Linked DNA regions of Lytechinus pictus. The protein of the gene in region 1 purifies or fractionates together with the protein of each later gene. This does not show direct contact. Links are inferred from orthologs where the notes say so. Each region holds a gene or a part of one and is shown on either strand. Other genes may lie near its edges. The genes, in order: cullin-associated NEDD8-dissociated protein 1-like and DCN1-like protein 3.

Region 1 (16,695 bases):
TCAAATTCATTCATAGACTTTCACAGTGATGGAATCATCTCTTATGTGATTACTGAAAAGTCCACATGATTTCATTTGACGATCTGTCCCAGTTACAAGTATCAGTTGACATGATAATATGAATTGAAAAAAAAGATAAGATTTTGGCTTTGAATGAATAACCCATGATATTTTGTTCAATCAAAGCTATATACATGTATCCACCCACGGTTCTGTTTGTTTTATTGTTAATTCATATTTCATATATTGTAATGACCGAATTGATAATAAATACATAAATAAATAAATAAACATTTGGACGAACTTTGTTTTGACTAGAATATTTTTACATTTCAGTAAAATTAAAATGATCAAACGAGCTATGCGATGCTTTTGAATTCAATACCCTTATATACGTTTATGATACGACTTTCATTGTATCAATATTTTATCATTAAAAAAGAAAAGAAATGTGAAGGATATACTCTTCATATATAATATATATATATATGTGTAAAGTTATACATGTACAACAGCTTTGGCAACTCTTTTATTTAAATATTGTAAAGAAATGGATGAAGATATATATAATATATATATATATATATATATATATATATACACTGTAAATAATGAAGTGCTAATTTAGCACTTACAGTGCTTGCATAGTGACTGCACTACGAGTGCTGATTTTCAAAATTAAACTAGAAAATCAGCACTCGTATAGTGCAGTCACTATACAAGCACTGTAAGTGCTAAATTAGCACTTCCATTTTTACAGTGTATATATATATACATATACATATATATATATATATATATATATATATATATACTTGGAAGACAGAAATAACGATGATTGAGACGTATACCTAATATTATACCTAATTTATATATATGTAAATACTATGTTCGTTCCATCCGATTTCCTTTTTTTGTAGGCCTGACGAAGGCCGATGATGGCCGAAAGCTTGCAAAAAAAGGAAACCTGAGAGCTACGTCTCACTCGTCGTTATTTCTGTCTTCCAAGTTTATCTACACTAAATGATGAGTGCCTGCACTACTCGTTGTGCTGAGGGCCCCCTTACATTATATATATATATATATATATATATATATATATATATATATATATATATATATATATATATATACTCTTGACCCTCGCACAAAGACGAGATACGGTGATCGCTCTTTTTCTGTTATTGCCCCTACTCTGTGGAACAAGCTCCCAACTCATATCCAAAATGCTCCCTCTGTTGAAATGTTTAAATCCTCACTCGAAATTCCCATTTTCTCAACACTAGCATACTTTTTTAAAAATTCAATTAATGGGCTTATTGTTTACTTTAGTCAGCCAACATGTGCGCTCTGAAACACCCGTATACAAAGCGCCCTATAAATGTTGTTATTATTATTATTATTTCCAAATACCTGTCATTTTTGGTGAGGAATGTGGTATTTTAAGGCTTTATGGGTGTTGAAAATGTATGATTTATTTATCAATAAGGTTTATATCGGCATAGGTTTTTAAAATCCTACTCATATAAATGTATAGTTCTTGTTTCTGTTCTGAAAACAAAATTATTAATGCTTTATCTAAAAGAGTATCTCACCTAAAATAATTCCATTTCAGGGACTCTACCCATCATTTGTTTTCGTTTATGATTTGCTTTATGTATTCTTATCTACAAGTATATTTTGCATGGTGAAAATAAAACAAATAATTTTTTGGGTATGAATACTGTGAAATGAAATTTGAGAGAATTCCCTTCCTGGTATTCTTTATCACATATCGTCTGAGACCACGCATTTATCAACATGATTGGGTGGCATTAAAAAAAACACTTCCAAAATGTGAATGAAAAATCCGTTAGACCAATAGGGAGGCGAACATTATTCAAAAGTATCATCAAATATAATTATGTGCACGAATGCGGTTGTTATCGTGTCATTGTTTTATTAGCATATATTAAAATAACCGCACAAGAAATTCTTAAAACAAATATATATTGTCAATAAAGAATAAGCTTTCTGATTTTTGAAAACTTATAATTTTGCCTTCAATTTTTCCCACCTTTGTTAAATCACTGGTTTAATCAATTTTTCTCAAAAGACCGCGAACAAAAATTATTGTAGTTTGTGGTGACGCCAAATGATCTGTCGAAATCGTCTTTGTTAAATTATCAAGAAATTTCCATAAATTGTGTGTGTGTTTATCATACCTTGTCAAAAATGTGCCCTAAAAGTAGCTTTAACTTAAATCGATCTAGAAGTTAAATATCATTTATCAAAATGACATACCCTTTAAAAAATCGTTGTTTTGGATATTCGAAAACTTGCTAGATGATGATGAATGCCAGACTTACATGTGGCAACAATTACCGCTCATAGATTTTATTCCAGAGATTGCCATTCATTTATTAAACAGAAGAATGTTTTATTTTTCATTGACCTTAAAAACATACACTGAAATAAATTTAAAGTGATTTAGACAATTTTACGCATGTTAAGCTACAAAAAGCTACGAATTGTTTTGATTATTTTGATAATTTATGTGGGAGATTACTTGATATTTTGCAAAAATATACAACTTGGGTATAAATAATGCATAAGAAAATAACCTGACACGCACTCTATAAAATTGTGAAAAGATATAAAACGAAGAATGGGATTTTGGTTTTATTGACGTTACTCCTTGCAATGTAAAATACAATATGATCGGGGGAAGAGTATAATGGTTTTATTTTCTTGTGTGACACAGGGAAGTAGAATATACAAGTATTCATTTCATAGAGAAATATGACATTGTGTTTGTAGCTGGTGCATGGCTTTTTAAAAGTTGCATTTTACTTACCTTCCTTGTTTTGTGATAATCATCTCCGTATTATGCTGATGGAATTTCCGCCACAGGTCGCGGTTGCAGAGGTAAACTGACGCCTTCCCTGGCCCGTTGGCGACCTCGACGTGCTGGTGACCCGCTGGTGGAGGGTATGGCTGGCTGACGACATGGTTCGGAACGACACCCTTCGCATGTTCGTCCTCGTGGTCCTGCGAGGCGCCATTTGGGAGGTGACCGAAGGTATGGGGTGATGGCGGAACCAAAGAGGCGCCAATTAGCTGATGTGGTGGAGCACTGGTCGTCTGAAGTATTGGTGGTTTGTTTTCAACAAAGAATGGTGGTACTTGGACATCGTTATGTTCAAGTTCTTTCTTCATGTCGAATTCCTGCAACTGTTGTGGCTGTTGTAGCAACCTTTGGTGAATAGGATCGTGGCTTGCACAGATCGGCATTGAGGATTTTTCATCTGCACTGCAACGGCCCGATGCGGTTGTGTCGTGACTTGAAAACTCATTGGTGTCATGGAGATGGTGGATCAGTGCATTGCTATTTCCTGATGGGGTACCGATTTCGGATATTTGCTGGTGGGTTTGGTGTGTTCCCGACAGGTGCTGGAACCCATCTATGAAAGGCGACGTCCTTTGAATCACCTGTTGTTGACTGTGCGAAGTGGCGGGTGGCGGGGTGGGAATTCCAGTGAAGTTGGATACCGTGCAAGTATTCAACAGGTAGTGCGGTAAATTTGCCGGTTGCTGAGGCTGGTTTTGGAGAGATGACAGAGGACAATACCTCTGTAAATTCCCATGCAAATCATGATGGGTTCCAAAATCGTGTAAACTGTATGACTGTTCGGTGTTCCCATGTCCATTCCTCTGTAGTGACTCAGACTGTCTGTTTTCATCACAATTCTCTAGATTTGACTTGATCTCGCATAATTCAAATTTCGTTTTATTTTGGGAATCTGCTGATTTATCGACGATATTATCTGTTGATTCACCATTAAGATTCTCATCTTCAGAAACGCAAATATTTTCTTCTGGTTCTGTCTTTAGAAAGTTAGTCGTGTCTGTTGCTGCAGCCGCATGCTGAAATTCATCTCCCATCATAATCTTCTGAAGCCCAAAAAAATCTCGAAAAAAAGAAATCGCGCCAAATCAAAAGGCGCAAACGTGATAAAATTCAATCCCTTTAGGACAAAGTTGGAGTGCGAAAATTCGGTTAGCAGTCATGAATAAACAAAGAAGTGACAAGGCGTGAACGCTGATGAAATACCTCTCTTAAATGTTAACACTTTTCCTGAAATTCCCCTGGCGTGATGTGTGTGCGATCATCTCATTTGGGCGTGAGACGATGATGAACCGTCAAATTTGCAGGAACTGTCAAAATCCAACCTGCGAAACGTCTTTTACATGAAAAGACTGAACACAATAGTGAAGAAGTTAGTTAAACTTTGCCTGGATTGAGCATCGCATGCTATCATACACATTGACGTTTCGCTTGGTTGACTCTCTTTATATTACGTCATAAGTAAGGCACCACTCTTCGGGGACTTGTTAATGAGGCCTCCCTGTCTGATCTCGTGGGGCGACCAGACAATGGCGACTTGAACGCTGATTGGTCAAGAGGGAGGCACGCGACTTGAAAGTAACATTAGTTGACAAACGGATAAAAAGAATTGAGTTATAGAATTGGCATAGAAGATGATTGTTTATTTTGGAACTACCATATGCCAAGGGGTTTTGATGCTTATTTCATGGACAAACAGAAGACGATATATAAATTCCTTGATCTGCTAATTAATATACGTGTTCAGCTTTCTCTATCCTCCTCCTCCCGGGCCTCCTCCTCTCTTTCTTCTGCTCCTTTAAGCTATTAACTGCTTCCTTCATTTCTGAAAATTCATGCATTATTAGTAGCGGGAAGTTTTTCTTCAAGTCTTCTTCTTACTCTTCCCTTTATTATATTTCCAATATACTTCAAGATGATTAGGCCTACTATATACTACTACTACTACTACTACTACTACTACTACTACTACTACTACTACTACTACTACTACTACTACTACTACTACTACTGCTGCTGCTGCTGCTGCTGCTGCTGCTGCTATTGCTGCTGCTTCTACTACTACTACTACTATTACTACTATTGCTACTATACTACTACTACTACTACTACTACTACTACTACTACTACTACTACTACTACTACTACTACTACTACTACTACTACTACTACTACTACTACTACTCCTACTCCTACTACTACTACTACTACTACTACTACTACTACTACTACTACTACTACTACTACTACTACTACTGCTACTGCTACTTCTACTACTACTACTACTACTGCGACTACTGCGACTACTGCTACTATACTGCTACTACTGCTACTACTGCTACTACTACTACTACTACTACTACTACTACTACTACTACTACTACTACTACTGCTGCTGCTGCTGCTGCTGCTGCTGCTGCTGCTATTGCTGCTGCTTCTACTACTACTACTACTACTACTACTACTACTACTACTACTACTACTACTACTACTACTACTCCTACTACTACTACTACTACTGCTGCTGCTGCTGCTGCTGCTGCTGCTGCTGCTTCTACTACTACTACTACTACTACTACTACTACTACTACTGTTACTACTACTACTACTACTACTACTTCTACTACTACTACTACTACTACTACTACTACTACTACTACTACTACTACTACTACTGCTACTACTACTACTAATACAAGTAGTGCCTACTACTATTATACTACAATCATAAATGTTTTCGTAAAAAGTAGCTACCGCCTCTACTTTTCTATTAATTTTTTTAATGCTCGAAAAACAGTCATTGATGCTGTGACTTTTCTTGGTTTCAAGTCGTACGTACACAGCGTGGTAAATGGTTCTTATCTTAAATCAAAGAGTAAAACATAATAATATGACGGTGATTCTCGAATCCCCCTTGCTTTCTAGGAATGTGTTCTCAAGCCTCTTCCTCATCAGGGGGTCATTTCAAGGAAGTCTTCTCTCATGACATCATGAATAAATAATTAGTGGTCGAAGTTCAAATCCGACCGGAAGGGATTAGATGACCACTCACCAGACAGGAAAAGGTCAATGACCGCTTTGTGTTATCACCATTGGGTATACGGAACGCGCGTAGCAATCTCATATACACCTAATTATTTTGTTTTGACAGCAGTGGCGTACAGATGGGGGCCCTTGGGATGCTTGTCCCCCCAAAAAAAAATCACGACCAAGAAAAAAAAAGGAAAGAGAGAAGAGTGAAATATGATATTACTTTCTGAAAATTATGTAAAAATATATCACAAAACTTGATATTTATTATTAAATTGAAAATATTAAAAATAAATTTTGCCCAATACGCCATATCTAGCCCCTCAATGCCTTTGGGCTCATTACGACACTGTTTGAAAGTGTAGCATTTGCACGCCAATAGACGTTGTTAATAATATTGTAAAGTTTGGCGAGCGATTGCCTAGACAAATTAAGGGGGAATTCAGATGTAAAGAATTATGCCCATTGTGATAATGATGGTAAAGTTTATAGTGTACATGTAAAGCTATTCTCCGTATAAACGTGTATATATATATATATATATATATATATATATATATATATATGTGTGTGAAGTTATACATGTACTACAGCTTTGGCAACTCTTTTATTTAAATATTGTGTGAAAGAAATGGATGAAGAGAACAATGGTAGGCGTAGCTTAAATCAAGGTTCCCCAGAGCAATGTTTTATACATAGCAATGTTTTCCCGGCTTTAAGCCAGGAGCTCTGGGGAACCTTGATTTAAGCTACGCCTACCATTGTTCTCTTCATCCATTTCTTTCACACAATATATATATATATATATATATATATATATATATATATATATATATATATATATATACAAAACTGACGTATAGCCCATATTCAGTTTTGTCAACATGACAATACAGTTCTTCCATGGGGTCCATATACAATAAAAAAATAAACACATATGAAAAGAAGCATAACATATACAGTAATCAAACAAAATAACACAAAGGACATACTACAGCCTGGTTTGAGCATCGGGAGGTGAACATCTTGGGGAGGTGGAACTAATCCGCTGTTGAAAGCAGAAGAAGGGGTCCAAATTTCATTTTGCTTGCCAGTGTCGGAACTCCTCTGTCTCAGCGGGAGAGTGCACGGTGCACTCAGTGCACCCCCAGCCTATACGCCCTTGCGACCTGTTGCTAATATATGAAAGATTATGAAATTCAATAATTTGGCAAGATTTTACACAAAATCGTTTTATGAAATGCATTAAGCTGCTATCAAATTATTGAAACAAGTTTTTCACAAGGAGCAAAGGACTGTTGTATATATAGGTAAGAAATAATACACTCTAAATTCCAAGGATTTAAAATAAATCCAGATCGGCTGTGAATAGTGACCAGCTGAATATTAGATTTAGATTTAAACCTTGTTGATTTAGATATAAATCTAAAAGATTTAAATCTAAATCTTTTGAGATTTAATAGTTAATCCTTAAGATTCAAATGAATTTTAAAAAGATTTGGCTGGTCACTATTCACAGCCGATCTGGATTTATTTTAAATCCTTGGAATTTAGAGTGTAAAATTATAGGCCTACAATAATTATTGTGGAAAGCCATATAACACAGTTTATTTGTTCACGCATACAGTTTTTAAGAGCCGGACAGCTAAAGTTGAGGGCAAAAATATTGTTAAAGGGAATTAATAAAAAAAAAGTTGTATTAATGTTGATGGTGACTATTCTGCTTAGATGATGGATTAATAAAAACAACACAATAATGAAAAATAAGCAATAGCATCAATGATGATAAGTACAATGGTTTTAATTATGATATCGATAATCGCTAAAATAATGATAATGACATTTTTCCTTCGTTATCCTTTGATGTTTTTTTTTTTATTCTTCCTCCTTCATTTTCTTGTTTTCTTCTATTTTTCTGTTCTTCTTCTTAGTTTCATTTCCCTTCTCTCCTTTGGTTTCTCGTCCTTTTCTCTTTCTGTTTCTCAGTTCCTTTTCTTTCTTCAACTTTATTTCACGTTTTCACCCAAAATGTGAATAGAGATAAAAATGAAAATTTTGGAGCGACCCCTTGCTTGTCTATTTTTCTTGCAGAGAAACTTAGAAAGTATTGAATTTTTATAGACTTAATATTTTGACAGCCCCCTGAAAAAAAAATTCAACGAGCGAGTAGGCCTATTGCTCATAGTTATGAAGCTATACTTTTATAGATGATTGAAACACAAATTAATATTATTCTCTGTAACCGATGAAGAATCTCGAATTATTAGAGGCAAGATACCAGCTTTTGATTCACTAAAAATTAAAGATCATTTTGGTCCCGAGAAATTTCACAAGGCCCCCCTCCCCCACAACGGAGAGGGGTTCTCTATAAAATGAAGGTCATTTTTATCAATTTTTTCACACCTACCAGACCTCCAGGGGTGCTGCCTATGGAGAATAATACACGCAGCACCCCCGGAAAAATCTTGGGGTGCTTCAGCGGGGTTACAGGGGTAGGGCCATGTGGGACTTACTTATCGAGGAGTAAAAAAATAAAAGAATATAATAATTTTGGAAATAATGTATCTTCATCTTCTGCTGATAATGAAATCGAAAATAAGTTCAGCTCGATCGTTCTCGCGCATGCGCGTAAGAGTTGACAGTGCCATGTTGATCTTGTGAACTCAGATCATCTTCTATTAGGACTATTCTGCTTTACCTATAACCTTTTGAGACGTTCATCATCAATCTGGGTTAAGGAAAATCAGGAAACCATGGCAAGCTTCTCTTACATCATCTCCAATCTCTTGGAGAAGGTAATGGATACAAATTTTGTGTATTGTTCAGAGCAGCGTAATTTGCCGGGTACTGCCCAATTTCAGTCCCACACGTTGCGTACGGCGTATGTAACTCAGCGCAGTTAGTAAGGGAACACGGCTCCGCCGCCAAATTATTGTCGGCGTCGCGTCGGTGGAGTTCAGCCTCGGGATTCTTGTGAATGTGTGCGCGGCCAAGAATAATCGGGTTACCGTTGGTATAAGGTTCCAAATATTTCAAACAAACAGAGCAACAAAAAATAAAGTTTCCATTTATACTATACTATAGAGTCTTGCATCAATTTCATGATTCTATCTGTCCGTTATTCATTTATTGACCATGATCTGTTGTCACGTTGAAGAATTTTTTAAAAATAAAAATTGAAAAAGAGAGAAAGTTATAATTGTGACAAGTATGGAAATACTCTACAAGAGGGACATACTATAATGTAAGAAGAAGAAGGAAAAAAATAACCGGGTTCCAGTCTATCCATGCAATGGCAATGCAAAAAAGGTAAAATGCAAACTCGTTAGTTCGCCATCGGTAATATTTAATCAGCAGTGTTCAAACTTCAACTTTGCCAAAAAAAATTATACTTATAGTCTACCCAAATATGCGTATGAGATAAAAGTATCCACAAATTCTCTCAAATATTCAATTTTTCCCCTGATATATTGCATTTTTAAAAGTAAGAACGTCACGTACTTCCAGACCAGATCAATGATGGGTTTGCATGATAGGGTATAATTTAAAATGTTAATGCACCCTTTATTTGACATGTGCCAAGATTTAACATTCAATCTTGTTTTCACAAGCCAGCACTTATCCAATCATCACAACATTTTGTCATGGAATGAAGTTAAGTTGCGCAATCATAGGGCCGATTGGCAAGCCAGCTAGACAATTGAAGCCATGCAGTATTGTGATTGTCCTGCTTCATGATCGGCTCATTGGTAATGCGCAACAGCTTTCCTTAACAAAAGCCAAAATGGTGGTGTAAACATTGCCAGATTTTCTTTCTGGTTCGTCAGATATAATTTTTAAATACAGTAAAGAGGTTCTTGATTGATTCATAATAAGTTGAAATAATGGTAATTTCATACATGTATGTTCAAAGTTTAGTCAAATCCTGTTTTTCCATTACAGGTTTAAAATCCCATTTGATATCATGAAAGAAATAAATTATAAGTGTGATATGAGTTGGTCCCTCATTAGCATAGTGCTTGTGTTAGCTACATTGTTTTGCGATGTAGAAGTCTAGGCAAAAGTTAAAAGTGCTATTAAAACATTTTGATGTACACCTGATTTTGATGAAATTTTCATTGTTATGCTTGTTTGAGTGAAAACTATTTGTCATTTGGATGGACTTGCCTTCAAACAAAATAATGGTTAAAAAGTCAGGAATATAATTGACCTGTAGATGAATTTTTATTTTCTGAGGAGACAAAGTTTTCAGCCCTGATTTAATTAAGTCTCAATATTGTAATGTTTTCATATTTTGCAATCTTTCCCATTTACATTACAAATCCTTTTCCAAGTATGTTATTTTTTTATTGGGTACATGTACATACATGTAGACCACGTGATTTGCTGGGATGGCTTTCAGTTGTAGCTTTTGGGAATGGCAGGATCATGATTCATTTACTTGATGGGATAGTCCCTCATGCAGCTAAAAAAACTTGATAACTCTCTCCCCAGTTTATCCTTTTTTTTCTAAAGCCCCCTTTTTAAGAATCATTTTCTGTCTTGGTATGTTTTATTGCACATCACACAATCTAGTACCGGTAATTAATAGTTATATTTGGATTTGAAAAAAAACCCAACAAATTATTATATTAATTTTCTATACAGATGACGTCCAGTGATAAGGATTTTCGGTTTATGGCAACTAATGATCTGATGACTGAGCTTCAGAAAGACTCCATCAAGCTTGATGATGACAGTGAGAAAAAGGTAAGTACTGTAATTTTCCCAGCATGATTTACAACAGGGAAAAACTTACACAGTGTTTTAGGGTGATCTGCCAGCCAAAGTGTCACAATAGGCCTGATAGGTTTAGCCCCTATGTGTTTAATAGAAAAGATACCGGTAAATTGTGTAAGAATGAATTATTGTGATCATTTTTTTTGAAAAACTAAATCAAAATAAAACCTGCATTGAAACTAATGATTTTTTGGATGATGTTTGCTTGAGGTAGAATTTTTGTTGAACGTTTCTACCCCCACCCCCCCCCCAAGACAGTTGAGAATTGATAACAAAATTACGTTCATAGCTAAGGCCAAGAAATTGAATGTACTGTAAACTACCACATAAATGTCCATGGTTGGTGGCTGCAATCCCTTTGGGAATTTACAATAATAGGAAATAAAACTCAAGTATACATGCATGATAGATATTAGCTCCAATGAAAAGCTCTCATGGAAAGTGATTTAAGGTTTTGCACCACCTATTGTACATCCCTAATTTATATTTGACACTTCCATTTTGTTAAGAAATTTACATGATTTTTGTGATATGTAAGATATTGGTATACTTTATTGCTATCAATGGGCATCATGGCACAATAAACATTAAGTACTATTATTTGTGTTGTTACCCATGGAGCAAGCTGGGATAGGCGTTCATAAAGAGATTGTGGATTTCAAATTTCAGTAGATTTTTGAAATCCTAGTGCAATTGTTTTTATTTTCAATTTACGATTATCAGTACTTACTTATTCTTTAATCAACATAAAGCATACACACAAGTTAGGCCTGATGCATGAAGATTGGTTATTGACGTGTGTATTTGCCCATTATGAATATTGTAACCCCTTTCCCCTAGGTTTGAGTTCATAATTTGTTTCAAATTTTTCTCATAAAAATCCAGGTGGTGAGGATGCTCTTGAAGTTGTTGGAAGATAAGAATGGAGAAGTCCAGAACTTGGCCGTCAAATGGTAAAATATATATTCCATTGTTGTGAGATTATGTAGAAATTCCTACTTGTATGAGAGTTTTTCAACTTGTTCAACAGGTCTTTGATAATAGTTTAAAGTTAGATTAAAGTTTAGAATCCAAAACAATGGTCTTGCTGCTGTAGAGATAAATGATATAAAACTTAGATTTCATTTTCTTCTACTCACCCCTCCACTCTCCAACTTGGGGGGGGGGGGGACATTTAAAAGAAAATGATATCTGTGAAAATGATGTAATGGTCGCAATTGTGATTTTTTGTTAGATTTGGATGTCAGATACATGTGATGTAGTTCACAGTATTGGTTCATTGTCAAAATTTTTGACACACTTTTAGCATAACTAAAGGTGGAATATTTAAAGATTTGTTTTATTTTATGACTCCTGCATAAATTGATGGAAATATGAATTCATATGTAATCATATTGCCCAAAGCTAGTAAGTACTGATGATATGAATACAAATTGATTGGAAATCAGGGGATGCAATATTTACAATGAATTGTATCTTTTTGTTCATGGTTTTCCATAGACAGAAGACGTACATGTGCAGTTACACTGATTTGTACAATTGATTTTATATTTCACGTTACAGGGCCCAGGACAAAGTAATTTATTATTCTATTTTGAACATTTTACAAATTAAGTGACTTTTACCACAATCTTATTATTGATTCATTTCAGCTTGGGTCCATTAGTGTCAAAGGTCAAGGAGTACCAAGTGGAGACGATTGTGGATACACTGTGTAACAATATGCTCTCAGATAAAGAACAACTGAGAGATATCTCCAGCATTGGTAAGTAGCATTAACTCTTTGGATATACATGGAAAGCCAAGTGCTATCAATCTCTGAAGGAAGGGTATAAATACCAAGTAGGCCCCCTCCCCCCAAAGAAATGTTTGTTGTAAGGTTGGTAGCTCTTTTTTGTCTCGATTGAACTAAGTTCAGCAGAGACCTAGTGATCAGTTTTCCTGATGGTCTGTTAGTCTGTTACAAAAATTTAAAAGTTTTTGTTTAACTTGCTCTCGTTTCTTTGTTTCTGCATCAATTGCGTTCATACTTGGTACAAATGATTCCTGGGTAATATCACATTTGTGGAGATAGAGATGGCGAGGGCAAAGGTCATCTAGGAGTAAAAAGGTCATTTTGCAGGTTTTAATAATCACAAAAATGAGGCGAGACAAGTGGTTTGTTAACCATCTTGTTTTTGGTTATTTATTTTTATGTTTTAGGTAAGATGATATGAAAACACTTGACTTATTATTTTCTTGTTTGTGTGGGAGAGACTCCTTGCAGAAAATAGAGTCATGTGCATTCACATTACACAAAAATAAATATATTTTTGTATTCTTAGTTACAAAAAACTTGCTTATTCAAATAAAAAGAAAATTGAGAGACTACCTTATTTCTGAATACATGTACTTGGCATACATGCCATGTATACATGCCATGTACTATGCTGACAGTTTTGACTGGCTTATGTGTGAACAGCGATGTCTGTCATGCAGCTATATGTACTCGTATCTGTTACCATGTTTATGACAGCCAGTGTAATTGAGCATACATACATGTACACCCTTTAGTTGATGAAGGTGGGGTAATATGATAGGATGGTAAGGATAGGTTTCATGCATGCTAAAGATGACTGTGATGGGCAAAGACTGTAAAAGTTGTTTACAACGCTTGATTCTCTCTTAATAGTTGTTATATAGATATTATTTTAGAACTTTTTTCAATTTTAAAGATTATCTCCCTTTACATCCTATTAATTGGCATACTGTATTTAAGGATCTATCAGAATTTCATTGTTTCCTTGGTCAATGTGGAACGTATTTTATCCTTTTTTAAATTTTGCCAATTAATTAAATCAAGCACTTATGGGTTTTAAAATACAATAATTTTACGGCTCGGCAACTTTTCTATTGGGCATGTCTATATTACTGCTCAACTTGAAATTAGATAAATATTATCTCTGGTTTCATTCATATTTGAGGGGTTGATATGGATATACAATTTTTTTTAAAGAGACATGTCCATATCCCCAAAATGAAAAGAAGTCCTCAAGCAAGTACATCCTGATATCGGTATCTCCAATGGAGCCATGAACATTGTAACAATGTTGATGTTCAAGAATTAATGAGGTTAAGAACATTGATGTATCATGTGGAAAAAAAAATGAGGTTAGAATCATTGGTTATAAATGATTTATTTTTATATTTTGTAACATAGGTCTGAAGACAGTCATCAATGAACTGCCACCTGCTTCCAGCCCTTTGGCAGCTAACATATGTAAGAGCATCACTGGCAGGCTAACCAATGCCATTGCCATGGTAAGTATGCTTTCTCACTTTCTTAGTATGAAGAATGTCGATATTAGAGGTTTCATGAAAGATTATGGTATGCCCCGCCCCCCTCCCCTAGATATTTTTACCCATTCTTACAGCAGAATGAGCAGAATCTTTGAGAAACTGATTTTCCCTGATCAATATAGCATTTACAAAATGCAATCTGCTGAATTGTGAATTAAAATCAGAAGTTGATTATATGTTATTTATTTTTAAATGACAACTAAATTTTATTTTCTTTCTTTTGTTTGTTTCCAGCAAGAGGATGTGTCAGTCAAATTGGAAGCCCTAGACATCTTGGGTGATCTTCTCAGCAGATTTGGAGGTAATTGGGAAAAATATTTTGATGGTCTGTCTTGAAAGATCTGTCACTTACTGAAGTCTAAAGATACCATCTGCTTCTGACAATTTCTTGGTCAGGTGGCAACAGACAGCAGCAAAGTATTTGTTCTTGTCATGAATACTTATTGGAAAAAAAAGCACTCTCTGGGTCTCATAAAAAAATCGTACAAGTGATTGTACACTGCTTAATGCAATCAATAGCTAAATTTGTTCCACGATCGAGTGCAATGCTTTGTGTTACAGCATCCTGTTAACTTCTAAATGTATTCATAAACCAGCTAAAAAAAATGAGTTGACTGAATAGCTTTGAATATCATGGCCATTTACCATTTGCGACATTCATCATGGAAGAGCCGTGGTGTAGTGGTTCTGACTCTCGCCTTGTAAACAGAGGGTCGTGTGTTCGAATCCCACCGCGGTCTAGCGTCCTTTGGCAAGGCTTTAATCCACACTTTGCCACTCTCGACCCAGGTGCTAAATGGGTACCCGGTAGGATGCGAAAGATATTGTACGTTTAAATTTGCCAGCGCCATTATGAGGCTGCGATGAATGCAAGGAATGCTCCCCAGGGAGTGGAAATTGTGCACTTTTCGTGCGGGATTGAAATGAATCCAATGACCGGGGTAATAATATGCCGTAACGCGCTTTGAGCCATTCTGGGAAAAGCGCTATATAAAAATTGGCTATTCTTATTATTATTATCATGAAATTCAATAAATGAGGAGAAAAACTACAGAAAAGGCAATAATGAGAAATATCATTGCTTAATTTGGGCCAGTTTCAGTTGATGTTTACTACCACAAACTTTGGTAAGTTGGTTAAAAAGTCTCTTTCCAAATATATTTGATTAATTTTGAAGTCATTTGTTTTCTTTTGGTTTGATATCATTTTTCTGAATGTATTCATTTCAGTATATGATATTTTGGAGATACATGTCCTTGAAATATCTTGAAGCCCTTAGAAATATTGATGTTCTCATTTTGTTTGATTTCTCCATTATTAAGGTCTGTTAGTGAGTTTCCATCCATCAATCCAATCCTCCCTTCTTCCTCAGCTTGCTAGTCCAAGGATGGCTGTCAGAAAACGAACTATCATTGCTATTGGTAAGTCTTCTCTGTTTGTCATTGTGAACATCTGCATTTGTTATCAGACTATTCCTTTCCATGAATCTTAAGTGGTACATAGTCGCAAAGCCTACAGCCAAAATTCATGAAAAGTGTGGTAGGTTTTGTCACATACATGTAATCTAGCTAGATGCTGAAGTTACAAATGTCACAGAATACATTTTTCAGAATAAAAACTCTTCTATTCCTTTAATACACTGGACTATGTCAGTCTTGTCGAGATGTCAGTCTTCAGGATTTGCAGGCTTTATATTTTTCAACTAATGTGAGACTTTATCATGTTCTGTCTTCTTTTCTGGCCCAGTCTCTAAAACTGACTGGCATCCCTGCTTAGTAATGTCACATATATCTGCATAAATGATCTTATTGTATAGGTGCTGACATAGCAGCAGAGCTATTTCTTTGTGATTCTCTCGAAAAATTTGAAATTGTTGAGATAATGTGTGTGGAAGCATTGTGGTCTCGTGGTTTAAACCCTCATCTTTGAATCAGAGGGACATTGGTTTGAATCCAGCCATAGCATTACTTCCTTCACCAAGAAGTTTATCCACATGGTGCTGCACTAGATCCTGATGTACAGTAGTAAATAGGTGCCTGGCAGGAATATCTCTTCAATGAAATGCCTGTGCATCAAGATGCAGAGCTGCCAACCATTACGTTTTTGCCGTAATCATTACGTTTTTTCATTCAAATTACGGCATTATGGTTTTTCTTTTCAAATTACGTTTTTTGACAATTTTGATAATGTGTGTACATAATTGTATGTATGTGGAGTGCGTGTTGAGCCCGAGATGAGCCTGGTACTTGCGCGTGCGTAGTCGCCTGCCGGCCAGTTTTCCAACGCACTTTAATAATTTGATAGCGTGCACGTACATATACGTTAGTTGAATATGCGAGCGGCATGCATGGTACGAATCGCGATGTACAGCGACTGGTAAATACGTCTGTAAGGATGATGACGTCATCCAAGATGGCAACTTACGATGACAAACGAAATGATCGAGGATGATTATGTTTTGATCATCATTTGAAAGGAAATAACAGTAACTGCGGTCTAAGGTACGATATTTCTGAATTTTATATATTTTATCTTAAATTTGCATGTAATTTCTTTCCTATAAAGTGATGTTTTATGTACAAAAAAACGATCCGAAAATCAGATTTCCGCCGAATGTTAGATCTAACGTTACTGCTAATACGTTGTCTTTACGCACGGGC
Region 2 (15,775 bases), on another chromosome or scaffold:
GAAATCGAATCGAAAATCGAATCGGCGATGTAAAAAACAAAGGAATACATCAAAATGTTGTTCGCGGTCGCGCGCATCTTCCTGACAAAGTCACAAAGACGAATGCATTGGAATGGAAGTCGCCAACATGCGCGATCGTTTGGAACATGTTTTAAAGCCAGGGGTTTTGAGGTGTTATTGCTTTAAAATAAACCGAGTGATTTTTATTAGAAAGATAAACGAAAGACGCATCTTCCGAGCAAAGGCGCAAAGGAAAATAAAAAGAAAATATTTCTCATAGATCACTGGTTAATGAACGATCGGCGGGACATCTTTTAGAAGTATTTTTAGGTGCTAGCGATTAAGAATTATTGGAATGATCTCTTACGACGCATCATCTTAAAGTCGCAAGTGCAATTAAAATGAAGTAGACGACGCAAGCACGCACGATGATTTGAAATATGTTATTAAAATGTTTTGGGTAGCTAGCGTTTTCAAATCAATTTGAAGTTCACGGCGGGGTCCGCTATCACCACGAGGTTGAAGAGAAGATGTCTATCATCATAAAGGGGGTAAGAGAGTAACGCAATAAGCTCCGTCTGTAGCACGATCTTTAAAAGGTCACGGCGGGGTCCGCTATCACCACGAGGTTGAAAATAAAATGTAAATCATCATAAACGATGTAAGAGAGTAACGCAATAAGCTCCGTCAATAGTACAGTCTTTAAAAGTTTCTGGCAGGGTCCGCTATCACCACGAGGTTGAAGAGAAGATTTATATCATTATAAGCGATGTAAGAGAGTAGCGCAGTGAGCTCCGTCGGTAATACGACCTTTCAAAGTTCACGGCGGCTTCCGCTATCACCACGAGGTTGAAAATAAAATGAATATCATCATAAACGATGTAAGAGAGTAACGCAATAAGCTCCGTCAGTAGCACGATCTTTAAAAGTTCACGGCGGAGTCCGCTATCACCACGAGGTTTAAAATAAAATGTAAATCATCATAAACGATGTAAGAGAGTAACGCAATGAGCTCCGTCAATAGTACGACCTTTCAAAGTTCACGGCGGCATCCGCTATCACCACGAGGTTGAAAATAAAATGTATATCATCATAAACGATGTAAGAGAGTAACGCAATAAGCTCCGTCAGTAGCACGATCTTTAAAAGTTCACGGCGGGGTCCGCTATCACCACGAGGTTGAAAATAAAATGTAAATCATCATAAACGATGTAAGAGAGTAACGCAATGAGCTCCGTCAATAGTACGACCTTTCAAAGTTCACGGCGGCATCCGCTATCACCACGAGGTTGAAAATAAAATGTATATCATCATAAACGATGTAAGAGAGTAACGCAATAAGCTCCGTCAATAGTACAGTCTTTAAAAGTTTCTGGTGGGGTCCGCTATCACCACGAGGTTGAAGAGAAGATTTATATCATTATAAACGATGTAAGAGAGTAGCGCAGTGAGCTCCGTCGGTAATACGACCTTTCAAAGTTCACGGCGGCTTCCGCTATCACCACGAGGTTGAAAATAAAATGAATATCATCATAAATGATGTAAGAGAGTAACGCAATAAGCTCCGTCAATAGTACAGTCTTTAAAAGTTTCTGGCGGGGTCCGCTATCACCACGAGGTTGAAGAGAAGATTTATATCATTATAAACGATGTAAGAGAGTAGCGCAGTGAGCTCCGTCGGTAATACGACCTTTCAAAGTTCACGGCGGCTTCCGCTATCACCACGAGGTTGAAAATAAAATGAATATCATCATAAACGATGTAAGAGAGCAACGCAATAAGCTCCGTCAATAGTACAGTCTTTAAAAGTTAATGGCGGGGTCCGCTATCACCACGAGGTTGAAGAGAAGATTTATATCATTATAAAGGGGGTAAGAGAGTAGCGCAGTGAGCTCCGTCGGTAATACGACCTTTCAAAAATCACGGCGGCATCCGCTATCACCACGAGGTTGAAAATAAAATGTATATAATCATAAACGATGTAAGAGAGTAACGCAGTGAGCTCCGTCGGTAATATGACCTTTCAAAGTTCACGGCGGCATCCGCTATCACCATGAGTTGGAAGAGAAGATATCTATCCCCTTAAACATTGCCATAGATAATACCGTGACTTTCTCCCTGAATAATGCGACCTCTAAATAGCTAGCGCCTCAAAAACAATCTTGAAATATGTTCTGAGCGATCACGCACTGTAACCAGATCTACGCCGATTTTTTATTTTCGATTTTTTTCCTTCAAGGGGCATGATCGAAGATCGGCAAGTGATTGCCGATTGTGGTGAAATCGAATGGAATCGGTTGCCGATTGCAAAATCGGTTATCGGTATGCAAATGAGGGAACTGATGACATCACTCACTCACTATTTCTTTTGTATTTTATTATATGAATTATGAAATATTTTGATTTTCTCGTCATTGTCAGGTGAAATGAAATTTCATTCCTCCCTGAATACATGGAATTCCATTATTGTAACATTTTGTGGTTCAGGCAAGGAGGTCCTAATCGTCAAATTCGTAAAAATTGAAATATTGTATAATTCAAACAATAAAAAACAAAAGAAATAGTGAGTGAGTGACATCATCGACTCTCTAATTTGGATGTAACTGGCTCGTTCATATAACTATTCTGTTAAAAATAAGCGAAACTTTGAAATGTCATAACTTTCTTATTTTACATCCGATTTTGATGAAATTTTCAGCATTGTGCTTGTCTGATTTTTCTCTATTGATTCAAATCAACATTTTGTTGGGGTGGACTTGACCTTTAAGATTGCAGAGTTAGGTGTCATAAGAGAGGCTTGCATGTAAACTTAAACGTTGACCTGAAAATGACCTTTGAACTTACCATGTGACCTCCGACCGCAGCATAACATGCAGGTCCCCCAAGTACATCTACAATCCAAGTTTTGTTGAAAAGTGACTTACGGTTGGGGAGTTATGTGTCAAGAGAGTCTTGCACGTAAAGTTTAACGTTGAACTGAAAATGATCTTTGACCTTTAATACACGTGACCTCCGGCTGCAGCATAACATGCAGGTCCACTATTCTACCATCCAATTCGGTTAAAAAGTGATTTTGATTTTGATAAAAAATTTCCAGCATCTTGCTCAGTGAATTTTACTCTTTTTATGTAGATTATTTTCAGCAGAGTACCCCTTTAAAACTTCATCTTGATAAGGTATAAAACTGAAGTTATCTCGTACCATGCTCGTACTTACATGTCCATGTAGACACTTATTTTTTTGTGTCTGTTGTTATAATCTACTATTAAATATCCTTGCATCTGATTGGCTCAAAGCAGAAAAACCCCAGCTTTCATTGCATGCCAGATCATAATTCATTATGTTCCTTATACATGGAAGATGATTTGTTTTATTAATCATTTTAATATTTGTTTTGTTATAAAATTCCTCTTTTTGCAGCATCTTTTTGTATCTTTTATTTTGAAAAGGTTTTATTAAGATCTAAAATAAATCTATGTGTAATGATTTAAACAAAAGGAGTGCAGTCCTTTTATTCATTAATTTTTGGTTTGTCTTTTGGCTATTATTGGTGAGCAGGATAGGAAATTATTGTTGTTTTTTAGAGGCTATCTTTTTATCCACGTTGGAGCAATTGCAGTAATTATTTGGGGGGCTATTTCTTTTGTTGTAAGGGCTACTTTTTATTAAGGGTAACGGGCAATTAAGCAGTAAAAGCAAACATCATTATTGTGCTATAACCTAGGAATAGAATATTGATTTTCTATAAATTAATCTTGAATATTGTTTGTTACAGATCTTAGTGCGACTCTAGAATGAATGGTCACTCCAAAGCTTGCATTTTGAGGGAATTTTAGGGTTGATTTGGGCTGTCATGAGGGCATGAGTCCTCATGTATTTCCTATTCTGTTTGTGAGACATATCTGATAATTTATTAAAACTGATTGTCTTCCTAACTGTCGCGTAATATAGAATTATCAAGACATGATGAAAAATACAAGTACATTGTAGGCCTAATTACATATTATTGATTTGCATTATAAAGAGCACTAGAAAGTTCTACAGGAGCTGTGAATAGTGAGGTACAGTTGCCATAGTAACAATGCCATCTGTTCTCATCACGTCAGTGTGGTAATAGACTTTTGCGATTTACATTTTTATAAAAAAAAGCTATTGATGTGATTGACAAATTCACAATGAATGTTATCATGGCTGATGCGCAATGTACTAGACATTGTACATGTATGTATGTACCTGGCGTGTGTGTGTATTAATTGAACATAAACAGTGGGCTTATTTATGCTGTATCCTTGGTAACAAATATAAATTTTAGTGTTTAGTAGACAAAAGGGAGCATTAGTCACAATCCCTCAAAATATGTACTGAAACACGCAACCACATATTTCTGATTCTGCAAGTACATGTATCCCAGATGTTTTTTTTTTGTTAGGATAATATCCAATTTCTGTATGTATTTCCACATCCTCTTGGTGTATTCACCCTTTACATTCACTAGTGTATCCTGTCAAACATGAACAAAAAAGATGAGTGAATGAACTCTATAAAGTATAAGCACATTATATCCCTTTTCCTTTTAATATATTTTGTCTCATTTCCTGACCCCCCCCCCCCCCCCCCCTTTCTCTGAATTTTCATTTTTTGCAACCTTCCTGTATTAAAACATACCATGCTTATCCAAAAAAAAAAAAAACTTTTTGGTCCCAAGCAATAGCCTGGGCCTGTCTAATGCTGGTAATTTCTTCTCTAAAATTAAAGGCATCAGAATCAATAACATGTAGGAATCTATACATGTGTGTTATCATTGAAAAAAAAGGGTTGTTAATTGGAATAATTGATTTCCAACACTATATGATGTACGTGTATGATGTTTGCTCAATTTAATTTTCCAGATTTGCCTTGACATTCATGCAGATATTGAGCAGTCACAGTTATGTAAGGGTACATACATACAGTACATGTACACCCAATCAATTACCAGGCTGCCGTTCCAAGAAACAAGTGTTAAAGCATGCATTCTAACATGGTGGCACAGGGGTCCTATTATTGAGACAAAGATATTTTTGCTCCAGTTTTTCTAGACTCATTGTGTGACATTTAAGGTGTGAAATGCATGTAGAGTGCATGTAATTGATTTTCCGGCCATTTGAACATTCAACAGGAAAATCATGTTGGCAGACGGGTGTGTTGACATGTGTACACTATGAGAAATTTCTGCCTTTATATAAAGCAAACATTTCCCTTTTTTAATATTTGAATCCTTGAATGAAAGATTTCTGGGCTTACATTTTTGCTATAAAACTGTTTTAAGGTTCCAACCCCTGACTATGATACATGTGCTAGAGAAGGCCTTTTTGTGTGTTTCAAAAATCACTATATATTTTCTGCTTCTGTACATCACTGCTGAATGTGTTGTTATATCAAAGAAAGTACATTCACTTCAATATGGTTCACAGATCTTACGTACATGTATGTAAAACTGAACAAAGTATTATACATGAATTGCAGTGTGACAAACAATTATATTATCATCATTCATCACTATATACACTTCCTTGTGGTGTGGGAAAAACATGATAAAATAGGAAGGGGAGTGTATGAAAACATGCTGTACAGTCTCTTAATACCACTTCGTATTCCTAATGCAATGCAAGCATGCGTAAGAGTTCAATAATGTTCTCACGTCGGAAGTCAGAACGTCAGAGATGTACATGTACATGACATGTAGGCCCACATAGTATGTAATCGTCTTCCATCGCAATAATAGGCAAATTTTCCAGTAAAACATACTGCTCATTGTGTGTCATACATGTGGAAAAAATAATATTAGAGATCATTAGAAAACTTGTCACATCACCTCATGACATCGTGGTTCAACTTCACAGTTCAAAGTGAACAAGCATGAATACAAGATGCATTGCAATGAATATGACAAGCATACACTACAGTATCATCATTCATCACTAGTTAATTAATCAAGTGCAGCACCACTGTATCTAGTGATGTGGGAGAAAACGTGAGAAAATAGGAGCAGGGGGGGTATGAAAACAACATCTATCATCTTTACTTCTATACCAGTATGCAATGCAAGCTTGTCTGCCCCATGGAGATGTATGCAAGCAAGGAGCTTCTTGATACAAGTAGAATCAGTGGCACAAATTGTATTATGGATGCATGGATGAGAACTGTAATTGGGAGTTTGAAATGATACTTTTAGAGCCAAATCATTGTCCTTTGATGGAAGGAGGAGTCGGGCATTGACGTATATTCGCGTGTGTTAACTTGAAGGATTGCATTAAATTATCCAATGATGGGCAGACTTGGAGAGTGAATAATACGTGCTTTGAATCATCAGTGGGATATCAAACCATGAAGCATGACTGTATTGAGAAAAGGGATGAATTTTTGATCTCTGCTATCTTTATAGTGTACATTGCAATTTAGTGGAATCAGGAAGCCCTGTTTCTTTTAATAATGAACACATCCTTGCATAAACACTGCTCATTTTGTGTAGGCTGTTCTTTTTTATATGCAAAGGTGTTGTTTTGATGAAATTTTTTGTGTTGCATGTTTGAACTTTTGTCTGTTTTCAGGTCATCTTGTTATTGGAATTGAATACAGGTAGATTTAAAGAATGAAATGCACATTTTGATATTTATAAAGGTACATAACATTGCAATAATTTGCAATAAATTGCAACAGATTTCCTCTACACTCGCTCCTGACCTGCGTTGGAGCTTTTGCTTTTGTTTTGTTTGATTTTGATTAGAAATTGTAAGAGAAAAAGGAAAGAAAGAAAGAAAAAAAAATGATGGGGTGAATGAGTGAGAGATGAAGATATTTGGGAGGGGGTTGAAAGAAAAGAGAGAAAGTACATGCTTCTATGTACAATGTAGGGGGTATAGAACCTAAAGAAACAAATTTGCATAATAATAGGCAATATTTATTTTGGAAAAAAAGCTTTGTATCCTGATCAGCTATGGAGCAGCTGTATTTCTAGATTGAAGTTTATATTTAAGTAATCAAATGTCCACTAGTTAGATAGTATTGTGTAATTTATTGAGCTATATTTTATTATGTCTGGGCAGTGGCAATCTGTCAGAAAAAAAGACATGCTAGCCAGACTTAACTTTATGTACAATTTGAACCAGTGAACTATTGAATTACTGACCATTTTCATCTATACCTTCCGTTTAATGAGTGTAAATTGAAAAAAAATGTGGCACACATATTGTTTGTCACAAAGTGTTCTCTGTATTTGTACAGGTTTTTTAGCAGCTGTACTCTATCATAACACAACCGTAACTTGACCCCTTTTTATATCAAAGACAGACTCTCCATGCTGGTGATATGGTTCAAGTTCACTTCTGAACCAAAATAAAATGGGTAGTCTTTGTGATACATGTACATGTACATTGTAGGCTACATGTAGATTGTCTGTTATGATTTGTTCTTTATATTAATAATGATCTGGATATTATTAACATTTCTCAATCACTTTTTGACAGTTTTGTAACTCCACAATTTACAGTTTATCACTACTGAAATAATGGATCTTGGTCTGTCTTGCACACACAGAGAATATACAGGGTGTATTCACATTCTCTACTACCTGGGAGTACAGTATTCCAGCAATGCACCTGCTCATGCATAACAATATTCAATGGACGACTCATTAGGATGAATGAAACTGATTTAGAAAGTATTTGTGTGTTGGTGATATACATGCACATTTAGTTGGTTGGACGAGAGGTAGAGGGATGGTCATTTTGCTTGCCCATCGTGAGTGGCTCAAGAAGACTGGCTGAATTACTCCCCAGGGAATGAAGAATGTGCATACATTGTCAATTAGATTTTGTTTCTGGATGCTATACAATGTACAGTACACATTATTTGTATCATACTTGTATATTAATTTTCACTTTGTTGTACCTTTTTATTTTCCCAGATCTGTCCTGATGTTATTAATTTGAGGGACCTCTCCTCTATATGACCTTGTTTTGGTCCACACAACCCCAGTGCTCACCTATGGTCCCCAGGCTATCTTGCCCGGCGCCATCCACCAAGCCACCCTCATGGGCAAGTGTTTCTCCGTCTGCAACCCAGGTTCAACCAACGTGGAAGAGCAGAATGGCAAGAACAAAGCACAACTCCCTCCCAAGCCCCCTCATCATGCCACAGCTATAGAGCACCCTACTGCCCAACCAGTTCAGTACGTCCAACATATCAGCACAACCGGAGGCCGTGCAGGCAACCTCCCTCTCCGTCCTGCTGGGGACTCGAATAATGGTAGTCACAGCAGACCTGCGCATGACACGCACAAGCAGTTCCCCCGACAAAACGGTGTAGAGACAAACGCAGCCATGAAGTCAGACTTCTCTGAGCGAAAGGCAAACAAACTCTTTGAAAAATATAAAGATAATTCTGAGGATGCCATTTTGGCGGAAGGCACCGAAAGATTTTGTCAGGACCTTAAGGTCAGTCCAGAGGATTTTATAGTACTAGTCATTGCATGGAAGTTTCAGGCGGCAGTCATGTGCCGCTTCACGCGGACTGAATTCATCCAAGGTTGTCGCACCCTACGTGCTGACTCCATCAATGCTATCAAAGCCAAGTTTCCAGAACTGCGACACGAGGTCAAGACGAATGAAGCCATGTTCAAGGATCTTTATCGGTACACATTCGGCTTTGGCTTGGACACTGAAGGGGGCCAGAGAACTTTACCTTGTGAGATTGCAATACCTCTATGGAAGCTTGTCTTCTTCTACCGACAACCCCCTATCCTAGATCGCTGGTGCAATTTCCTGACTGCTAACCATGTTAAAGGTATATCAAGAGACACATGGCAGATGTTTCTGCACTTTGTAGAGGTCATTAAAGATAATCTCAGTAACTATGACGACAACGAAGCCTGGCCTAGCCTTTTTGATGACTTTGTGGAATATGAAAATGATAGATTGAAAACCGAAAATCAAGGTGGAAAGGAGGATGACGACCAAGAGGAAACTCATCTAGTGTAAAAAGAATATTAGGGATACCCATATTTTTAATTCATTTTCACTTGTTTTATTTGTGTCTTCTCCTTTTTCCTAATGCAAGGTGCTCCATTTGCTTCTTCATGGCCCTTTCAATTGCTGACATTAGTTTCAAAATAAGCAGTTACTTTTGTTTGACTGATATTCCAGTGACCAAGAATCTTACTCTCTTATTTTATTAGTATGATATTTTTGTGAACAAAGAAAAAAACTTGGGAGACTTCCATAATAACATGCACGGAAGAGTATAAAATGTAGATGTGCGTATTATGCAGCATCTTGTTGTAACGTATTTTTCTTAAAGCAGGAAATGTAATGACATGCAGGGATTATTCTTTACAAACCTTGGTCAAAACATGATCATATTTAAACGCATTTTTATCTTTGATACAGAAGATTAAGTTATCAGAATCCAAAGAATGCATTTGTACTTCTTGGTACTTGGATATATTTATTAATGGGTTTCCACATTATGTAGCCCTTAATTATTTGTAGAATGCATGTTTCAATGCTAAAATCCACATAAATATTCAGACTCAAAAACCTTCTATAACTTTGGAATGTTTTAAAATGTGTTTCATAAAATTACACCTACATGTACATGTATAAACTGCTCTTATGATTATCTGGAAGTTTAAGTGCCAAATTAGAGCCTAAACTTTGGCTGAAGTCTCATTAATTTTTTCATGTACTTCAAATGAAATTCCTGTGAATTTATTGCAAAATATACCGGTAGTCACAGAAACACGGCAAAATATAGTCATACACATGTACTGTAGACTTGGCATAAAAATATGTTTTCATAGGGAGAATGGTACTTATTCAAGAACTTTAATATAATGCAACTAAAAATGGTTGGTTGAAGAACAATCGCTTTCCATATCCCATCTGTTAATAAAGGCATTTGTAACTTTCTTTAATAAAAACAGCGTTATGATACACCCTTCCCCTTGAAGTATTGTAATGCACTTCAGAATTGTCAAACTTCATATTAATTTCTGGAAGATGTGATCACCCGACTCAAAGCCTACAATAAGTTTTTAAAAATAATTTTCATAAGTATCCCAATTAGAAGAGCACATTTTATGATTTAATTTGACAAAATTGATCGACCAAAGCCCATATAAATATTATGGATTTTAGATTTCTCATTCTTGACGCACAATCTTCTAATTGGGGGGAAAATATATATATATTTTTTTTGCATGAATAAGGAGGAGAACTCAGCATCTACATGTATGGAGGAAAGATTATGTGTCATATGAGGTTTCAGGGAGAGATTAAAAGAAGAAGAAAACTGTTTAATATTTAGAGCCCAACTGACTTTTCTGGCATGTTACATTGTCTTTTTGTAGCTTTGAGCTGGTTGGTCAAAGAGGTAATCACTGTCACATACATGTAGTCCCCTTTAGTCATATGACTTTTTGAAATTTGAAAAGCTTTCCCAAGTGCAATGTTTGAAAATATTTTTTCTGAATGTAAAACTGTTGGATTCTACATGTATTTTACATGTATCTGAAATCTGTAAATGATCTTCCTCCTGGGAGAGGGTGAAGAGGGGGGGGGGGGGGGGGGTCACTGAATATTATTGCTCGACAAGTTACATGTAATACCAAAAATGGTAAAACTTGTACTTTTTGCTGGTCAAAGGATTTTGGACCTATCTCAGACAGTATAAACTTCCAAGAGTTGATAATTTGTCCTTTAAAAGATGTATTACTTTGGATACAATGTACAAGTATGATTCGGAAGTAAATACAGTAAATTAAATTTCTTGCATTAATGGATAAATGTTAATAATTTTTGTGAAGGTTGAAATCAAAACAGTTAGGTTGACATGATAGACTCAACAGTTGCCCATTGTAGGGTTCATGTACCTGTATTAAAGGGTTTTTTTTTTTTTTTGGTATGATTATAAGTACCTCACAAAAATCATATAATGGAACTAAATGTCAGAGAATATAGATACAAATAACAAATGGGTTATACTTCAAATAACCTCCTCTTGTGCAGTGTATTTATTCAGTACTACTGATGTTTAATATTGAAAATTATTTTTAATATCGATTTTGAAATTATTTTAACATCGTTTTGCATTGTTGAGATATGAGGGGTTTGGCTGAACCCAATCATCATAAAATATGTTTGATTACGTTTTAACTTGCATTATGTTCATGTATTTGGATGTTTCATTTATAGCTTCTATAATGTGGATGACAACTCGGTAAATTAATAGACGAGATAAATAAAATGCTGCATCTCAATTAGATTTATAAAGAAAACAAAACGTGTTAAAGAAAATAGAAACAAGATTTTTCTTATCAATCAATTTGAGAACTGTTGATATGAAACTGTCTTCAACATGTATGCATAATCGAGCTTAATAACCTCTTTTTTGAAAGAATTATAATAGCAGTCTATGAACTGCATGTCATATTTAATTTTATCTATATTGACAAACACATTACGACCCCATTTCTCCCATGCCTTGAAAGGTTTCTTTCCTATTCGTCTAATGCCTATTCATCCAATTGCCAACTCGTCTACTATTATTTGGTCTACCATCAATTCGTCCACTATCCACCACATGGTCTAATTGCAAATTCGTCTACTCACCATTTCGTCTAATAACCAGTTGGTCCAATGGCCATTTAGTCCATATACCATTTGGGCTAAGTGTTAATTGTGCAAAATGAATGAAAATGAAATTATTAGACCAACTGGTTATGAGACGAAATGGTCATAGACGAAATGGTGATTAGACAAAGTGATGATTGGACCAAATGGTTATTGAACCAAATGGTTGTTAGACGAAATGTTGATGGACGGAATGGCATTAGACTAAATGAAATAGACCATGAGGTGAGTGGACGAATTGGCAATTTACCCGTTGAAATCATCAGATCCCATCTTTATTCATAATACAGACCTGCATGTATTTAAAAATATTCCTTTTCCCAGTAATGCCTGACATAGCAGGATATAATCAATTGCAAATTTATTGTTTTTATTTATTGAACTTTTCTATGTAGGGACACACATTCTGTCCTTTATTACAATCCTGATTTTGAGGGTTTTTTTTTTTTCATCTGCACATGTCGTTGTTTCATTGTGATTTTTGAAAGAAGATATTTTGTGACTTACCTGTTTTTCAGTTGAATATCCAAACTTGTCAGATTTTATTCTATTCTTTTATGCACATGGTAAATTTTATTTAAAAAAGCATGTGAAAGAAGTGGTATATTACAATTAAGGATGTAGTTGAGATTGGATTTGAGGCATCAGTTGCTACAGTCTTGGCATCAGCCATAGAATAGGCGTAAATGTACAAAGTCAGAACCCTCATCCACAACTCCATAGATCTCAGTATCTCTCCTTTGTTTATTTTGTGCTGATTTTTTATCATAAGATTAATCTTAATTTAAGCCTACTTATCATTTTTATTCATGCTCAGTTTTCACTTGTGAATGTTATTTCATCTTGGGTCATTTTTTCCACTTTGTTTTCCATGTTTGTGTGAGCAGAAACTTAAAACAATTTTGTACAGGTTACAAATCTTATTGTCTTTAAATACACTCAGACACTTTTGAGAAGTGTCATCATTTTTTAATAAGTTTATAATTTTCTGATTATTGTACAAAGTAAGATTACTATTTTTATTTAATATTTAAGAAAAGTTAAGAAACTTTATATGTGTTTTGTATATGCATATACTCTTGTGATGTATTTCAACATTTTTATACATGTACACCAAGTTCATATTGAATCATTGAATATTTGTAGAATGCTGATATGTGTGTTGTGTTTAAGTCCAAAGAAATATCCTTTCATCATATAAAAAATTAATGTGTTGTGAAAGTAGAATTGTTTGTTCACTGATACACATATTTTGCTATAATTCCAGTTCTACCCGTATGAGAGCGATCAAGCATTTTAAAAACTAGAACTATGTAGAATTCACTACACTCTTCCAAGATTCGTGGATACATTGAATTCTAAGTAAGACTAATGACAGTGTTTGCTCTCAATATACATGACTTAATCTTGTTGCCTTGGCAACCAATCATTAACTTTTCTTCACTTGAGAAGTACATGTAGCAGTTAATCCTTTTAATACTTTACAGAGTTTCAATCTTTATTACACAAATGAAAGTGAAATAGAAAAAAATTTCATTGCTTCATCTTAACAGTCTCCATTGCCATATTGATCATGAATGTAACTGAAATAGATTGTAAAAAAATAGAAATAAATGTACCCTCTATAACAAATGTACCTCCAATTTGCATGATCAAAATCTCATCTCCATCTTCTGTGAAAAAGCAACAAATTTTTTTTTTTCTTAGAATATTCATTTTTCCAAGACAAGTATCCATGGGTGCATTAAGGCTACTTTAGCAAAGGCAGAATCATCGCAAACACACTCCCACAGAGTGTTTTTAATATTACGGTATTGTGTTTAGGTGAATTCGCAAAAGTGCATTGCGTGTTCTGTATTGACCCAGAAGAAAAGAAAATGTTGGGCATGTGCTTTTACCAAAAGAGTAGTGTTATATTGCGATCTTGATCAAACAACAACGTGATGTAATGATGTTGTTTTAAGCATTTAGAATTGACGCTATGTACATTGTTGCATCCCCAGGAACCGTCTTTTTGAGGAATGCTGATCGCACATGTACATGTAAAATTGTTAAGAGTTAACAATCTTCATTTAGACAAGAATGGGGAAAATGCTTAACTTAACATGTGTCAAAAGCCAAAGTATTGCCTGAAAATGGGAATTGTACACTGTAAAAAGGCACCCATAGGCAAATGCAAGGATACAGTGTACATAACATACCATCTCGGAATGTGGAAACGAAATGTCTGGCCTGGAAGATTAGTCGGGAACGATCGGAATTAATAGGAATTAGTACACTGAAGGAGTGATCAAAGCACAAAGGTGAATTTTTGTGAATAAATCCTCAGATTTTCTAATGAATAAGGAAACATATTTCTTTGTTCTGAGCTTTTAAATGTTCAGTGATCAGGAATGGTTCCAAAATAGATCGTCACATCTTTCTGCACTATGTGCACAGTAATTGCAGTTTTCTTTGACCTTCTGATTTGGATATAACTTTATGAATGTTAATATGTCTTGTAGCTTTCAGATTGTAACAATTACAACTATAAGTATACATAATTTTGCTGCGAGTTTACTTAAAATCGGTCCGTTGATCATACTCATATGCTCAAAATCCACAAATTTTATTTTTAAATTTGATTGTCATGTATTGAGTTTTTATTCTATCCACTTGCAAATTTGTTGAACAGGTCTTCATGTCATATGGACACCTGTATATAGTTTGCTTTTGAGAACATTCAGATTGTTGAAATAATACATGCACCATTGACATTGTTATATTCCAAACTTGTTAATACTTGTTCCTACAATAGAAACTTGGAATAACGAGACCTGGGGCCGGTTAAAGAAAGAGTTCAAATGAATTGCACCTCAAAAATATCAAAGGCAGTTTGAATTTTGACCAATCAGAATTACACATTTTAGACTTGTGCTCAATTTTTTTAGTTATGTTTTGCATTCAACACTTTCTGCAATTAGGCCCCAGTTCAAGTTGGATCATCAAAATATCTTGACGGATTATTAAAAATACACAGAAAAACACAGAAAAACACACTATCATTTAAATGGTAAGTAACAGGATTGTTTACTACCATGTTACACAATCGCCACATTTCTGTGTTGTTTTGGAATCCAATCATGTTGAGTGGTATTATGAAGTATGCTTGTCCTTCTCAGTTAAAAATCATTTTGATATTGCAATTTTGTATCAATCTGGTGTTGTGCAGGTAAGCTTTGCCATCAACCAAAGACCAACATCAAACCTTGTTATGAAACATTTTAGACTGCATGTATTGATAAAAAATTCTTCTGTGGGGAATGTTAAATGTGACTTAAAGTTATGCTTTCATGCCAATGCACAGATGATATTTAATGTGCAATTTTATTGATCAGAACGTTGTAAAGCACGTCTACTTTACACAATACCAATGCAGTGTTGTGTTTTATAATGCACGCAAACAGGAATTTAAGTGATTTTTAAAGAGATGGGGGGTACAGTACATGCCTATGATAATCTGATGAATAATAGTTGTCTAAACTTTTCTGTGATTTTGCAACATTTTGTGGTCAAACTGAATAGTCGTCAGTGTAGTCATAGTCACATGGCATTTTGTAATTATTCCATGCATAATGAGGCCATTCTTCAATTTATCATGCAATTTGTTTCCTGTTTTGCCAGTCTATTAAACTCGCTTCATTTGTTTTATCTTAATCTCTCTCTCTCTCTCTCTCTCTCACCTCTGCCATTTTCTCCCATATTCTCTTTCTCCTGCATGTCTTACATGTATGTTTTAACTATCTGCCTCTCTTTCTTTGTCTCCATTTCTCGTCTTCTCTTGTCACCCCCCCTTCTCTCTCTCTCTCTTTCTCTCTCTCACACACACACTGTAGTATTTCCAATTGTGCTGTTTATCAATCTTTATCAAACTATTGTCTGCCTGACAGTCTGCCCTTGGCCACTATGCCAAGTACGATCTAATTATAACCCATGCCCAGGCGTTCAAATTCAACAATCAATGCACTGAAAGATATGTATGTATCCGTCATCTCCTGTCACAAAACTATTACGGAATACAGTTGCCTTGGTGATATTTTGGAGGACAATTAATGTAATAAATGAAT

The links.
Region 2: the proteins of cullin-associated NEDD8-dissociated protein 1-like (region 1) and DCN1-like protein 3 purify together in Homo sapiens (affinity purification with western blotting; 3 studies listed by BioGRID, with this or other methods). This does not show direct contact. The link is inferred for Lytechinus pictus from reciprocal best matches to the Homo sapiens genes CAND1 and DCUN1D3.

Annotation. Positions count from the first base shown.
Region 1 is NC_087245.1:25,052,880-25,069,574, reverse strand, and holds the start of cullin-associated NEDD8-dissociated protein 1-like, read left to right. Parts: upstream 1-8,525; 5' UTR 8,526-8,670; coding exon 8,671-8,712; intron 8,713-10,564; coding exon 10,565-10,666; intron 10,667-11,581; coding exon 11,582-11,649; intron 11,650-12,348; coding exon 12,349-12,461; intron 12,462-13,895; coding exon 13,896-13,996; intron 13,997-14,269; coding exon 14,270-14,336; intron 14,337-15,357; coding exon 15,358-15,456; intron 15,457-16,695. Other genes in the region: T-box protein 1-like, read right to left, coding at 2,837-3,927. UniProt on the Homo sapiens protein: Key assembly factor of SCF (SKP1-CUL1-F-box protein) E3 ubiquitin ligase complexes that promotes the exchange of the substrate-recognition F-box subunit in SCF complexes, thereby playing a key role in the cellular repertoire of SCF complexes.
Region 2 is NC_087254.1:25,572,189-25,587,963, reverse strand, and holds the start of DCN1-like protein 3, read left to right. Parts: upstream 1-7,949; 5' UTR 7,950-8,072; coding exon 8,073-9,017; 3' UTR 9,018-15,775. UniProt on the Homo sapiens protein: Contributes to the neddylation of all cullins by transferring NEDD8 from N-terminally acetylated NEDD8-conjugating E2s enzyme to different cullin C-terminal domain-RBX complexes and may play a role in the cell cycle progression by regulating the SCF ubiquitin E3 ligase complex, after UV damage.